3 linked regions of the Ovis aries genome follow. The protein of the gene in region 3 purifies or fractionates together with the protein of the main gene of each other region. This does not show direct contact. Links are inferred from orthologs where the notes say so. Each region holds a gene or a part of one and is shown on either strand. Other genes may lie near its edges.

The links.
Region 1: the proteins of KIFAP3 (region 3) and KIF3A purify together in Homo sapiens (co-immunoprecipitation; 9 studies listed by BioGRID and IntAct, counting the BioPlex papers as one, with this or other methods). This does not show direct contact. The link is inferred for Ovis aries from reciprocal best matches to the Homo sapiens genes KIFAP3 and KIF3A.
Region 2: the proteins of KIFAP3 (region 3) and KIF3B purify together in Homo sapiens (co-immunoprecipitation; 7 studies listed by BioGRID and IntAct, counting the BioPlex papers as one, with this or other methods). This does not show direct contact. The link is inferred for Ovis aries from reciprocal best matches to the Homo sapiens genes KIFAP3 and KIF3B.

Annotation. Positions count from the first base shown.
Region 1 is NC_056058.1:19,390,168-19,393,918, reverse strand, and holds the start of KIF3A (kinesin-like protein KIF3A), read right to left. Parts: upstream 2,388-3,751; coding exon 2,019-2,387; intron 1-2,018. UniProt on the Homo sapiens protein: Microtubule-based anterograde translocator for membranous organelles. Plus end-directed microtubule sliding activity in vitro. Plays a role in primary cilia formation. Plays a role in centriole cohesion and subdistal appendage organization and function.
Region 2 is NC_056066.1:61,436,181-61,439,831, reverse strand, and holds part of KIF3B (kinesin-like protein KIF3B), read right to left. Parts: intron 2,327-3,651; coding exon 2,225-2,326; intron 2,013-2,224; coding exon 1,890-2,012; intron 1,785-1,889; coding exon 1,666-1,784; intron 1-1,665. UniProt on the Homo sapiens protein: Microtubule-based molecular motor that transport intracellular cargos, such as vesicles, organelles and protein complexes. Uses ATP hydrolysis to generate force to bind and move along the microtubule. Plays a role in cilia formation.
Region 3 is NC_056065.1:36,965,446-36,969,096, reverse strand, and holds part of KIFAP3 (kinesin-associated protein 3), read left to right. Parts: intron 1-2,399; coding exon 2,400-2,554; intron 2,555-3,651. UniProt on the Homo sapiens protein: Involved in tethering the chromosomes to the spindle pole and in chromosome movement. Binds to the tail domain of the KIF3A/KIF3B heterodimer to form a heterotrimeric KIF3 complex and may regulate the membrane binding of this complex.

The sequences.
Region 1 (3,751 bases), on a different chromosome or scaffold from region 3:
GAGAAACAAACATGAGCCACTGTCATTCACAAGGAATAGATGATATCAAGTCAACACACTTCTTTCCATCTCTACTTTCACCACCTTATTCCAGGTTATCTTGTCCCGAATTATAAGAAACTCCTAACTGTACTGCTGGGCTTCCTGGTGGCTCAGCGATAAACAATCTGCCTGGCAATTCAGGAGTCTCAGGTTCAATCCCTGGGTTGGGAAGATCCCCTGGAGAAGAAAATGACAACCCATTCCAGTATTCCTGCCTGGGAAATCCCAAGGTCAGAGGAGCCTGGGAGGCTCCAGTCCATTGGGTGGCAAAGAGTTGGACATGACTTAGCAACTAAACACCACCACCAACTGTATTGCTGCATCTAATTAGGTTCCGATATGGTCTGTTCTCTACCTGGCAGTCAGTTTCAACTAATCTAATTAAGTCACTCCCCTACTCAGAATTCTACAATAGTTTCCCACAGATTTTAGGATAAAAGTCAAAATCCTTACAGTGGTCTGTAAGATCTGGTTCTGGCCCATGTCCACTTCTCCAGCTTTATTTCACAAGTTACTCTGCTTGGCTTTCTTTTAGGCCTTTTCTTGTCTTCATGCTTCCTCTCACCACACTCCTTTCCAGGTGCTGTTTCTTATGCCTAAAACATACTCCCCCCTCTTCAATTACTTTGCAGAGCTCAGCTCAACAGCTCCTTCACCTGGGAAGACTTCCCTGACTAGAGTTGACCTAATATAGGTCCTGATAGCACCATTCTTTCTTCTGCACTGGTTACAATTTTACTTTTTTTTTTTTTTTTTTGGCTTCTTATTTTATTACAGTCTGTGTCTGTATCTAACTGAGAAGTTCCAAACAGGTACTCAGTCAAGGGACTAAATTTAGCCCACAAATGTCTTTTGTTTGGCTCCTATTATCTAAAAATCTTTTAAGTCAGTTGCTAAAATTTAAAAATTAGAAATCTCATTAAAAGAACAATCTCTAGATTCTCTGAAAAACAGATAGATATCTGACATTTGTAAGCCAGCATTCCTACATGGCAACATTTAAACAATTCACCAGAGTCTACTTCTTTCTATTGTAGGCCACTGATCCACTTCACTTAGTTAAGCATCCTATCACTATGTGTGGTTTTCACCTCTGCCCTACAGGGCAAGCTTTTCTCTTCCCAAGTTCAAGAACCTGGCTGGTTTTGCTCAATATTGTATCTCCAGTGCCTAGTATGTAGTTGTTGTTGTTTAGTAGCTAAGTCGTGACCCCATGGACTGTAGCCCGCCAGACTCCTTCGTCCATGCGATTTTCCAGGCAAGAATACTGGAGTGGGTTGTCGTTTCCTTCTGCAGGGGAACTTCCCCAACCAGGGACCAAACCAGCTTCTCCTGTATTACCAGGGGGATTCTTTACTACTGAGCCAACAGTGTGGCTGGTGCCCAGTAATAAATTGTTGAATAAATTGATAATTAAATAGAAAGCAACAAGGAACAAATATTAAGCATTTAATGCTAAGAGTCAAGCACTGTCCTTCAAGCCTCCTGCGTATTATCTTATTTCATCCTGATACCCCCATGAGGAAAAGTTTAATTATGCAGGAAAGAAGAACCCAGAAAGATAAATTACCCAGGGCCTCGCAACCGGCCACTTCTCAGCTGTTCTCCATGACCCTATAATGGACTTACGACGCCTGCTTATAACCTGTGAAATCCTACAAGACGCAACATACGACCATCCACCACTCACCCCCTCACGTAAATAACCGGCCACAGTTGGAGGGTTCCCCATGACTGGACTTACGACGCCCCCTTATTAAGTCACACGATAATAATCTGTGAAATCCTACAAGACAAGCATACCATCACCCACCACTCACCCGCCTCACACACAAAGACGCCTACGGATTACATTCTGCACTGTCAGCTGGGGCGCCACGAGAGGAATGACAGCTCGAGTCAGGAGCCTGGAGTAGGGGCAGACAACCCGTGCTCTGCTGCCTTCCAGAGCCCGGCCCCGCGACGCAGAGCCCCACCTGGCATCCAAGAGCCAACCCTCCGCGGCCGCTCCTAGACGCCCTACCCAGAGAACAGGGCTGGGAGCGAGCGCGCATCCTCCGGCACAGCGCCTTTATGTCAAGCACCCCAGGCCTTTCGGGGTTCAGCAGCGACCAAGGTGGCAAGGCCTGCTCCGGGCCCCTCCCGGGGTCGGGTGGACCCCCACATGCCCGGGCCCAACCGCCTGGCTCCCACACCGCTTGGCCCGCCCGGCCCGGCCCGGCCCGGCCCCGCCCCACCCGGGCCGCCAGCCTGCTCCGCGCCTCCATGGTAACGGCCGCGCCACCCGGCCAGGCCGCAGAGATGAGGAGGAGCCCCAGCGGCTGAGTGACTCTCCTTACCGGCATTGCGGCTTCCTCCCGTGCCCCGTGGACGTCCCCGCCCGGGGTGCAGTCCAACAACGCCGGCTTCGCGGGAGAGGCGGATCAGACACTCCTGAAACACCTCCTTGGCGCACCCAAGACTGCGGCTCCTCTGGCGAGAGCTCGCTGTGCGCAGGCGCACTCCGGGCTCGCCCCGCCCCATCCCCGGGCACGAGGCTTCCTCCGCCACTCGGATTACGCCTGCGCCAGAACTTTCCGAGTCCGTCTCCTAGGAAGCCAGGCTGAGGCTGCGCTTGCGCAATGCTGCCATTCCGCTGCCGCTGGAAATCTGACCGGATTTGGAGGTGGGATATCTGGCTACTACGGTTGGGGAAGAAGAGGCACAACGCCGCCCATCTTCTAGCGCTTGCTATGTTCTAAATATTATAAACAACGATAGCAATTGTACATTGTGTTTCCTCAGAAGAGCCACTTTACATACGTTATTGTGCTTGATTGCCAACTTATGACCTGTCTCACCATTAGCTGAGGAACTTTGTCAGTATTCTCAGTTACCTCCAGAGCCTAGAATAGAAGATGGCACAAGGTGGATTTTCAATAAATACTTGTGAAAGAAAGAATGACCTATCTGAACCACTCCCCTGAACACCGCTCTGCTTGGACGTGCAATAATTTCAAGTTTATTATGTCCAAAATTGAACCGTTGATTCGCACTTCCTATCGCCTACTAGTACCTATGCCACACCTGTTAAATATAAACAACTTTAAAAGTCCATCACAATAATGTAAGCTGGATTCTGACCATTGATCAGATTAAATCACAGTCTTTTTCTCTCATACTTAATATCCAATCTTTCTACAGAACTAGAACTAGTTGTCTCTGTCTCAGAAGTAGAACCAGAATCTGACCACTTTGAGCACCACCATCTCTCGCCTGCATTACTAAACAGCTCAGAACTAGTTTCCTTGCAGTGCATCCTTGCCCATCCTAGTCTACTTTCAACACAAGAGGCAGAGTGCTCACCGGTAAAGAATCTGCCTTCCCATACAGGAGATGGAGGTTCTGTCCCTGGGTGGGGAAGATCTCCTGGAGAAGGAAATGGCAACCTACTCCAGTAGTCTTGCCTGGGAAATTCCATGGATAGAAGGGCCTGGCGGCTACAGTGGGTGGGGTTGCAAAAAGTCTGACACGGCTTGGCAACTAAAACAACACTGTCTTCATTCATAACCTGCCAGTGATTTCTCATCTCCCAGCATAAAAGTCACAGGCTCGGATCACAGTCCTTGGTTCCTGCAATCTTCCCTCTTACTCATCATTGCAAGCTATCCCTCTCGCACCAGCTGCACTTGGCCTCCTTGACTCATCTGACCTTGCAGGCATGGTTTCA
Region 2 (3,651 bases), on a different chromosome or scaffold from region 3:
ATAGTTCAACAGAATAGTACCGAAGGTAGAGAAATAAACCTTACAATTACGGTCAACTGACTTTCAACAAGGATGCAAAGACAAAAAGGGAAGACACTTTCAACAAAAGGTGCTGGGGCAACTGAATATCCACATGCAAAAGAATGCATTTGGAACCATACTTCAGACCATGTAAGAAATTAAATGGATCATAGACTAAATGTAAGACCTAAATCTGTAAGACTCTTGGATAACCTAAGAGAACTAAAAATGTTAAGTCCACAATTAAACTTGGACACAAATGTTCATAGCAGCATTATTAACTATAGCTGAAAAGCAGAAACAACCCAAATGTCCATTAACTGATGAATGGATAAATAAAATGTGGAATATTCATATAATATGGGTCAGCTCTACAAAAAGAAGTGCTAACATCCTGCAACATGGATAACTCCTGAAGACATGTTAATCGAAAGAAACCAGTCACAAAGACCACATCCTATATAATTCCGTGTATACGAAAGGCCCAGAATAGGTTAATTTACAGAGTCAGAAAGTAGATCAGTTACTTATAAGGCTGGGGGAGGAGATAATAAGGAGTGACTGACAACCGGCACACGTTTTCTTTGGGTGAGGGCACCCACAAATGTTCTAAAATTAGACTGTAGTGTTGACTTTACAGCCAAGTAAACATATGCATATATATTTAAATGACTTGTGGGGGAGTTCCCTGGTCACCTAATGGTTAGGATTCCTGGCTTTCATTGCTGTGGCCCAGGTTCAATCCTTGGTGAGGGAACAGATTCCCCAAGCTGTGCAGCCACAGTAAAAAAACTGACTTGTATCTTGCATACTTTAAATAAGTGAATTGTACGGTATGTGAATTATATCTCAATAAAGATTTTCTAAAAAAAAAAAAACAACACTGTGGTACATATGTAAGTATGTAGGAATGAGGTAACATGATGTAAGATTTGCTTTCAAGTATTTTTATGAGGATAAAGATCTGTGCTTTCACTGAAGGGGGCATGGGTTCAATCCCTGGTGGGAGAGATAAGATTCTGCAGGCTACATGGTAGAGCCCACCCCCCTAAAAAACCAAAAGCAACCAAACTATGAAAGATGGAGGACAAAAGACTGTTCATCAGAGCATCTTGGGCTTTCCTGGTAGCTCAGCAGTAAAAAATCCACCTGCAATGCAGGAGACTTGGGTTCGATCCCTGGGTCAGGAAGATCCCCTGGAGAAAAAAATGGCAACCCACTCCAGTATTCCTGCCTTCCTGCCTGGGAAATCCCACGGACAGAGGAGCCTGGCAGGCTATAGTCCATGGGATCACAACAGTCAGACATGACTTAGCGATTAAACCACCATCACTGCTGGGCAATGGATATTTGGGTGTTCCTTATACCATTCAGAAAATTCTAATTAATAAAAGATTCCCTTTCATCAATAGATAATGGCTTCAGTAAGGCAGAATGAGAGGAACTTGGAGATCATACGGTGAAGATACTCAGTTAACAGATGGGATGCAGAGACAGAAAATAACTTTCTTAGGAATAAACAGAAGACAGACAAGGCGGCGAGAGATGGAGAGAAGTAAGCAGGGGCCCTGTCTTCTGAGGGGTTTGCTACTTAACAAACAACACAGCAAGCGGCTGGGGTGCCCCGGAAGGCCCAGGACTTACTTGAGTTTCAGCTCCCTGGTGAGCTCATTCTGGGTCTGCTCCAGCTCCTGCCGCTCCTTGATGTGCTCTTCTTGGAGGTCATGGATCTCTGCCTTGACTGCCTGAAGCTTAGAGAACAGCTGGAAACAACAGGAGAGGCGGCTGAGCCGGGCAGCCCTCTGGACAACAGAGTTCACTCTGCCCCACACCTCAAGGAGCCTCTGCCTGCCTCATTCCTTTCCTACCTTTTTGAGTTTCTTGGTCTTGATGTCCACCTCTTGCTGCAATGAGCTGTATGTCTCCTTCAGTTCCAAGGTCTCCTCGTCTCGGCTTTCCATCTGCTGCTGGATTTCTCTTTCTCGACGTTTCTGAGCAATGTCACAAAACTGATCAGTGTGCCTACAGACAACATCTATTCAAGAATATGGGGCTGGGTGCTCTAGATCAGTCTCCCACCAGGAAGGGGCTGACACATGTCCTTCTCATCACCTTTGAAGAGTCTAACAGAAAAGATATTGGCTCTGTAGCACTGACGCACCCCGCCCAACTCCATTCTCTCCCAAAGGGAGTGACAAGTTACCTGTTCTGCAATTTCCTGCCGTTTCTGCTCCAGGATTTTCTGCTGTTCATTTGTATGATCTACTATATTTTTTCCTCCAACAAGCAGCTTACTCTCCATAGCCTTTGTGAGAAAAGAGCAGAATCCAGGTCGTGAGTGGTCTCGCTCGGAACATAGCTCCTCACAGGGAAGCCTGTGAAAGACAAAGAGCTCCGGACCGAGCCAAAGCAGGTAAATTCTTAGGGAAAATATACTGTGCTCAGCTGGGCCTGTCTCATCACTGGGGTGGAGCTTTGGCGGCTTCACTAGGGCTTTATAATGGAAATACTGAAGACACAGCTTCCCTAGACATACATAAATTTCAGCTTTATATTTTAAAGAAAATTTTTGGTTTGTTTGTATGAAGTATTGACCTCAGTTAGAACCTATTAAGCACCTTCTACATGCTAGGTACTGAGGATGCCACTGTGAATATGAGTCAAAAGCTGAGAGTCCACAGAGGGCCACAAGCAGCAGGTTCTTATCAGATGGAACCAGATCTTATCATGAGGAAAGGACAGAGTAATACAGGCAGAGGCACACGGGAAGGAGGGAATTCAGGCTCTTCCCAAAGGCAGTCAGAGAAAAAGCTTCCTGTCTCAAGGGACAGCTACAAAAGTGCTAAAGTAAAAATAGGAAACAGCTAAGGAAAAAAAAAATTGTTTTCAGAGGGTAGGGTAGAGAGTGGTGATACATGAAGTTGGCAAAGCAATCGGGGGTAGTTCAAAAACCTCCAAGCCTTGTATGGGAGACTACGCTTGACCCTGAGAACTGCAGGAACCACTGACGTGTCCTTTGAGCACTAGGATACATAACCAGATCTGTGTTTTAGAAACAAAACTCCCCTGCACAGGAAGAAAAACTGGAAAAGGGCGGGCTGGGTGGAGTGAGAGCAGACAGGAGGCTGTTTTAAGGTTTCAGGCCTGAGCTGGGGCAGGAGAGGTTGGGAGAGCAAAGTGGATGGGTCCGAGAGAGGCAGGATTCAGAGACCGCGGGAGAGAGAGTGGCAGCTGGCAATGATAACTCCTAGGAAGGAGTCTGGCTAGACTGAGGAAAGGCAGGCCGAAGCAGGCTCTGCGTGGCCCTGGGCATCTCCGTGGAAATACCCAGCAGGCAGAGGCTATCAGCTGGGACGTTAGGAGACAGCTTTGGGCTAACCATGCAGACTGAAAACCTTCAGCATTTAGATGAGGGCTGAAGCCAGGGGAATGATTTGCACCTGAGAAGCACGGGCTCCAGAAACTCCACAACCTTGCTTTAAAGAAACTTCTACCCCTGCTGCCATGCTTCTGCCCCTGCGACTTTCCTCTTTTTTCAAAACGAAAAGGCTGGACTGATTAGTAATCACCACCCTCAACACACTCCCTTCCAGCTCTAAAATTCTTTCGTCTTATGACTGTGTATCATCC
Region 3 (3,651 bases):
CTGTCGTCTCTTTTTCTAAGGTCTCTGTCCCTGTTGCCTCTAATACCTTCAGTTTCTCCCAAACTTAGCCATCTTCAGTTCATTCGCTCAGTCATGTCCACCTCTTTGTGACCCTATGGACTGCAGCACATCAGGCTTCCCTGTCCATCACCAACTCCCGGAGTTTACTCAAACTCATGTCCATTGAGTCAAGGATGTCATCCAACCATCTCATCCTCTGTCATCCCCTTCTCCTCCTGTCTTCAATCTCTCCCAGCATCAGGGTCTTTTCCAATGAGTCAGTTCTTTCACATCAGGTGGCCGAAGTATTGGAGTTTCAGCTTTAGCATCAGTCTTTCCAATGAATATTCAGGACTGATTTCCTTTAGGATGGACTGGTTTGATCTCCTTTCTGTCCAAGGGACTGTCAAGAGTCTTCTCCAACACCACGGTTAAAAAGCATCAATTCTGTGCTCAGCTTTCTTTATAGTCCAATTGTCACATATATACATGACTACTGGGAAAACCATAGCTTTGACTAGATGGACCTTTGTTGGCAAAGTAATGTCTCTGCTTTTTAATATGCTGTCTAGGTTGGGAATAACTTTTCTTCCAAGGAGCAAGCATTTTTAAATTTCATGGCTGCAGTCACCATCTGTAGTAATTTTGGAGCCCCCTAAAATAAAGTCTCTCGCTGTTTCCATTGTTTCCCCATCTATTTCCCATGAAGTGATGGAACCAGATGCCATGATCTTAGTTTTCTGAATGTTGAGTTTTAAACCAACTTTTTCACTCTCCTCTTTCACTTTCATCAAGAGGCTGTTTAGTTCTTCTTCTCTTTATGCCATGAGTGTGGTGTCAGTCCTGAATATTCATTGGAAGGACTGATGCTAAAGCTGAAACTCCAATACTTTGGCCACCTGATGCAAAGAACTGACTCATTTGAAAAGACCCTGAAGCTGGGAAAGATTGAAAGCAGGAAGAGAAGGGGATGACAGAAAATGAAATGGTTGGATGGCATCACCGACTCAATGGACATGAGTTTGAGTAAACTTTGGGAGTTGGTGATGGACAGGGAAACCTGGCATGCTGCAGTCCATGAGATCGCAAAGAGTCAGACACAACTGAGCAACTGAACTGAACTGAACTGTGGTGTTATCTGCATATCTGAAGTTATTGGTATTTCTCCCAGCAACATTAATTCCAGCTTGTGCTTCATCCAGGCTAGCATTTCTCATGATGTACTCTGCATATAAGTTAAATAAACAGGGTAACAGTATACAGCTTTGACATACTCTTTTCCCAATTTGGAACCAGTCTCTTGTTCCATGTCCAGTTCTAACTGTTGCTTCTTAACCTGCATACAGATTTCTCAGGAGGCAGGTCAGGTGGTCTGGTATTCCCATCTCTTGAAGAATTTTCCACACACACACACACACACACACACACACACACACAGAAACAGTCAAAGGCTTTAGCATAGTCAGTAAAGCAGAAGTAGATGTTTCTCTGGAACTCTCGCTTTTTCAATGATCCAGCGGATGTTGGCAATTTGATCTCCAGTTCCTCTGCCTTTTAACTAAGCCATCTTCACTAGCGATCTTCACTAAGAAGTATTTCAGCACTGTGGCTCCTTTCTTTTGTCTCTCTTTTTGAATCTAAGCCTTGCATGAGTGCATCTGCTTGCGAGAATCTCTTGCCACCAGTTTGAGTCTTCACCCTGAACCTAATTTTTTGTCCTTATAGCTTTCTTTGTTGTCATGAATCCATGTAAATTGGCAATTGCTTCCAGATTTTGAACAACCTTTTCTTATTCATCTTGCAGTGAATTTCCTGGACTAAATTAAAAAGGAGGAAGAACCTGTTTGTTTTTTTTTTAATGTACTGACAAATATAACTATATTCATTTGTTCCTCAGCATTCCTCATATAAGTCTTAAAATGCATCCTACTTTTTTTTTCCTTCTGCATAATTTCCATCAGAATAATCAAATCTGAATATGTTAATATTGTATTCTGTCCTTAACTGAAAACTATGACTGTGAATATGGTCAAGAAAATGATTTATTTTTGTCACTATGGATTTTCATATCTAATAATTAAAAACTTTATATGATATAAATATATGTATATGACATCAGAAAGACTGTTTTATAACTGGTCTCTGGATATGCTATCCTCCCTAGATGAGTCAGATGTAGACTTTACCATTCCTTTTGTTATCTCGTTTGTCCAATTTGAAGAAAATCATTGTTTTGCATTTTTTTCTAAGTCTAGCTATATCTTATACTTTATTACATGTTACTAAAAGAGACTATGTCAGGTACATTAAATATTTTATAAATTATTTAAAAGAAGTACTGTTTAAATTGTTACTTACTTTAATAATAACTGAGTTGGAAAATTCTGATTTGCCTGCAGTATCCGTCTTAAAAGTCTCAATGCCAACACAGATATAACTTCCCTGGCACGGAAGGTGGTTGAGGAATGTAAACTCATTCATCCCTCAAAGCTAAATGAAGTGGAACAGCTGTTGTACTATCTCCAGAACCGCCGTGATTCAATGTCAGGAAAAGGTAAGTAGAAGAACAACTAAATTTTTAACGCAAAACCATAGCAAAAACCACCTCAATATTGTAAGTAATTAGCCTCCAATTAAAATAAATAAATTAATTTAAAAATGAAAAAAAAACAAAACCAGAGTTGTTTGACTGTAGTTTGTACTTTTGATATTTAAATGGTGATGGTTTTTTTTTTGTTGTTGTTAGTGCTATGACTAAGTGAATGAAAGAATAAACAAACATACTAGTATTCCAGGCTTACAAAATGATCTATTTTGTACCAAGTGTGTGTGTGTGCATGCGCACATATGATAAAATAAGGAATAAAAAAGCAAATATCTTTCATATTGATTCTGGAATAATAGAAAGAGAGAATTGAGGCCTGGAAACCTGTTTTCTCCACCCGAGCAACTTATTTATATTTTCTATATTTCTTATTGACAATTAATTGATAATTTGGATTACTAAAGTATTTAAGTGTTAAAATATTTGTGGTATGCATATGTTTTGTGAATCTTTCTTAGGAAAACTTACCTTTTCATTGCCAAACATCTCTATTGTTACTATTCTTCTATCTTTAATTGCCTCATAAAAGAATAAATTCATTAAACTTAGAGCTAAGTAATTGATTATTTATAGAAGACATTTTCCAATGTCCAAGCTCAAAACAAAAGTACAGGTATTTAAATGGAAAGTTATCTCAGATTAATCAGTGGTTACTTATTCCATTTCATAGTATTTATTAATGGACAGTCCATGGAGTCGCGAAGAGTTGGACACAACTGAGCAACTTTCACTTCACTTCACTTATCAAGTTTACATATATCTTTCTTTTCATTCCTAAGTTCTATTATATGGTACCCTTGACATAGCTTATACTTCAGTTTTGATTGTATTAAGTAGAAAAAATGAAAGAGAAAATTTATTTGCACTTTTAAAAAAATTAAGCAGTCATTTCTCTCCATCCATAGCAAATAAAATGCCTTGTGCCTAATATGTACTTTTATTAGTTAGCCTTGTATACAGTATATAGCACACATTATATGATCAGTATGTATTTGTTGAATGAATTGAATAGCTGTGAATTTATTTAAAAACAAAAATAAGCATTT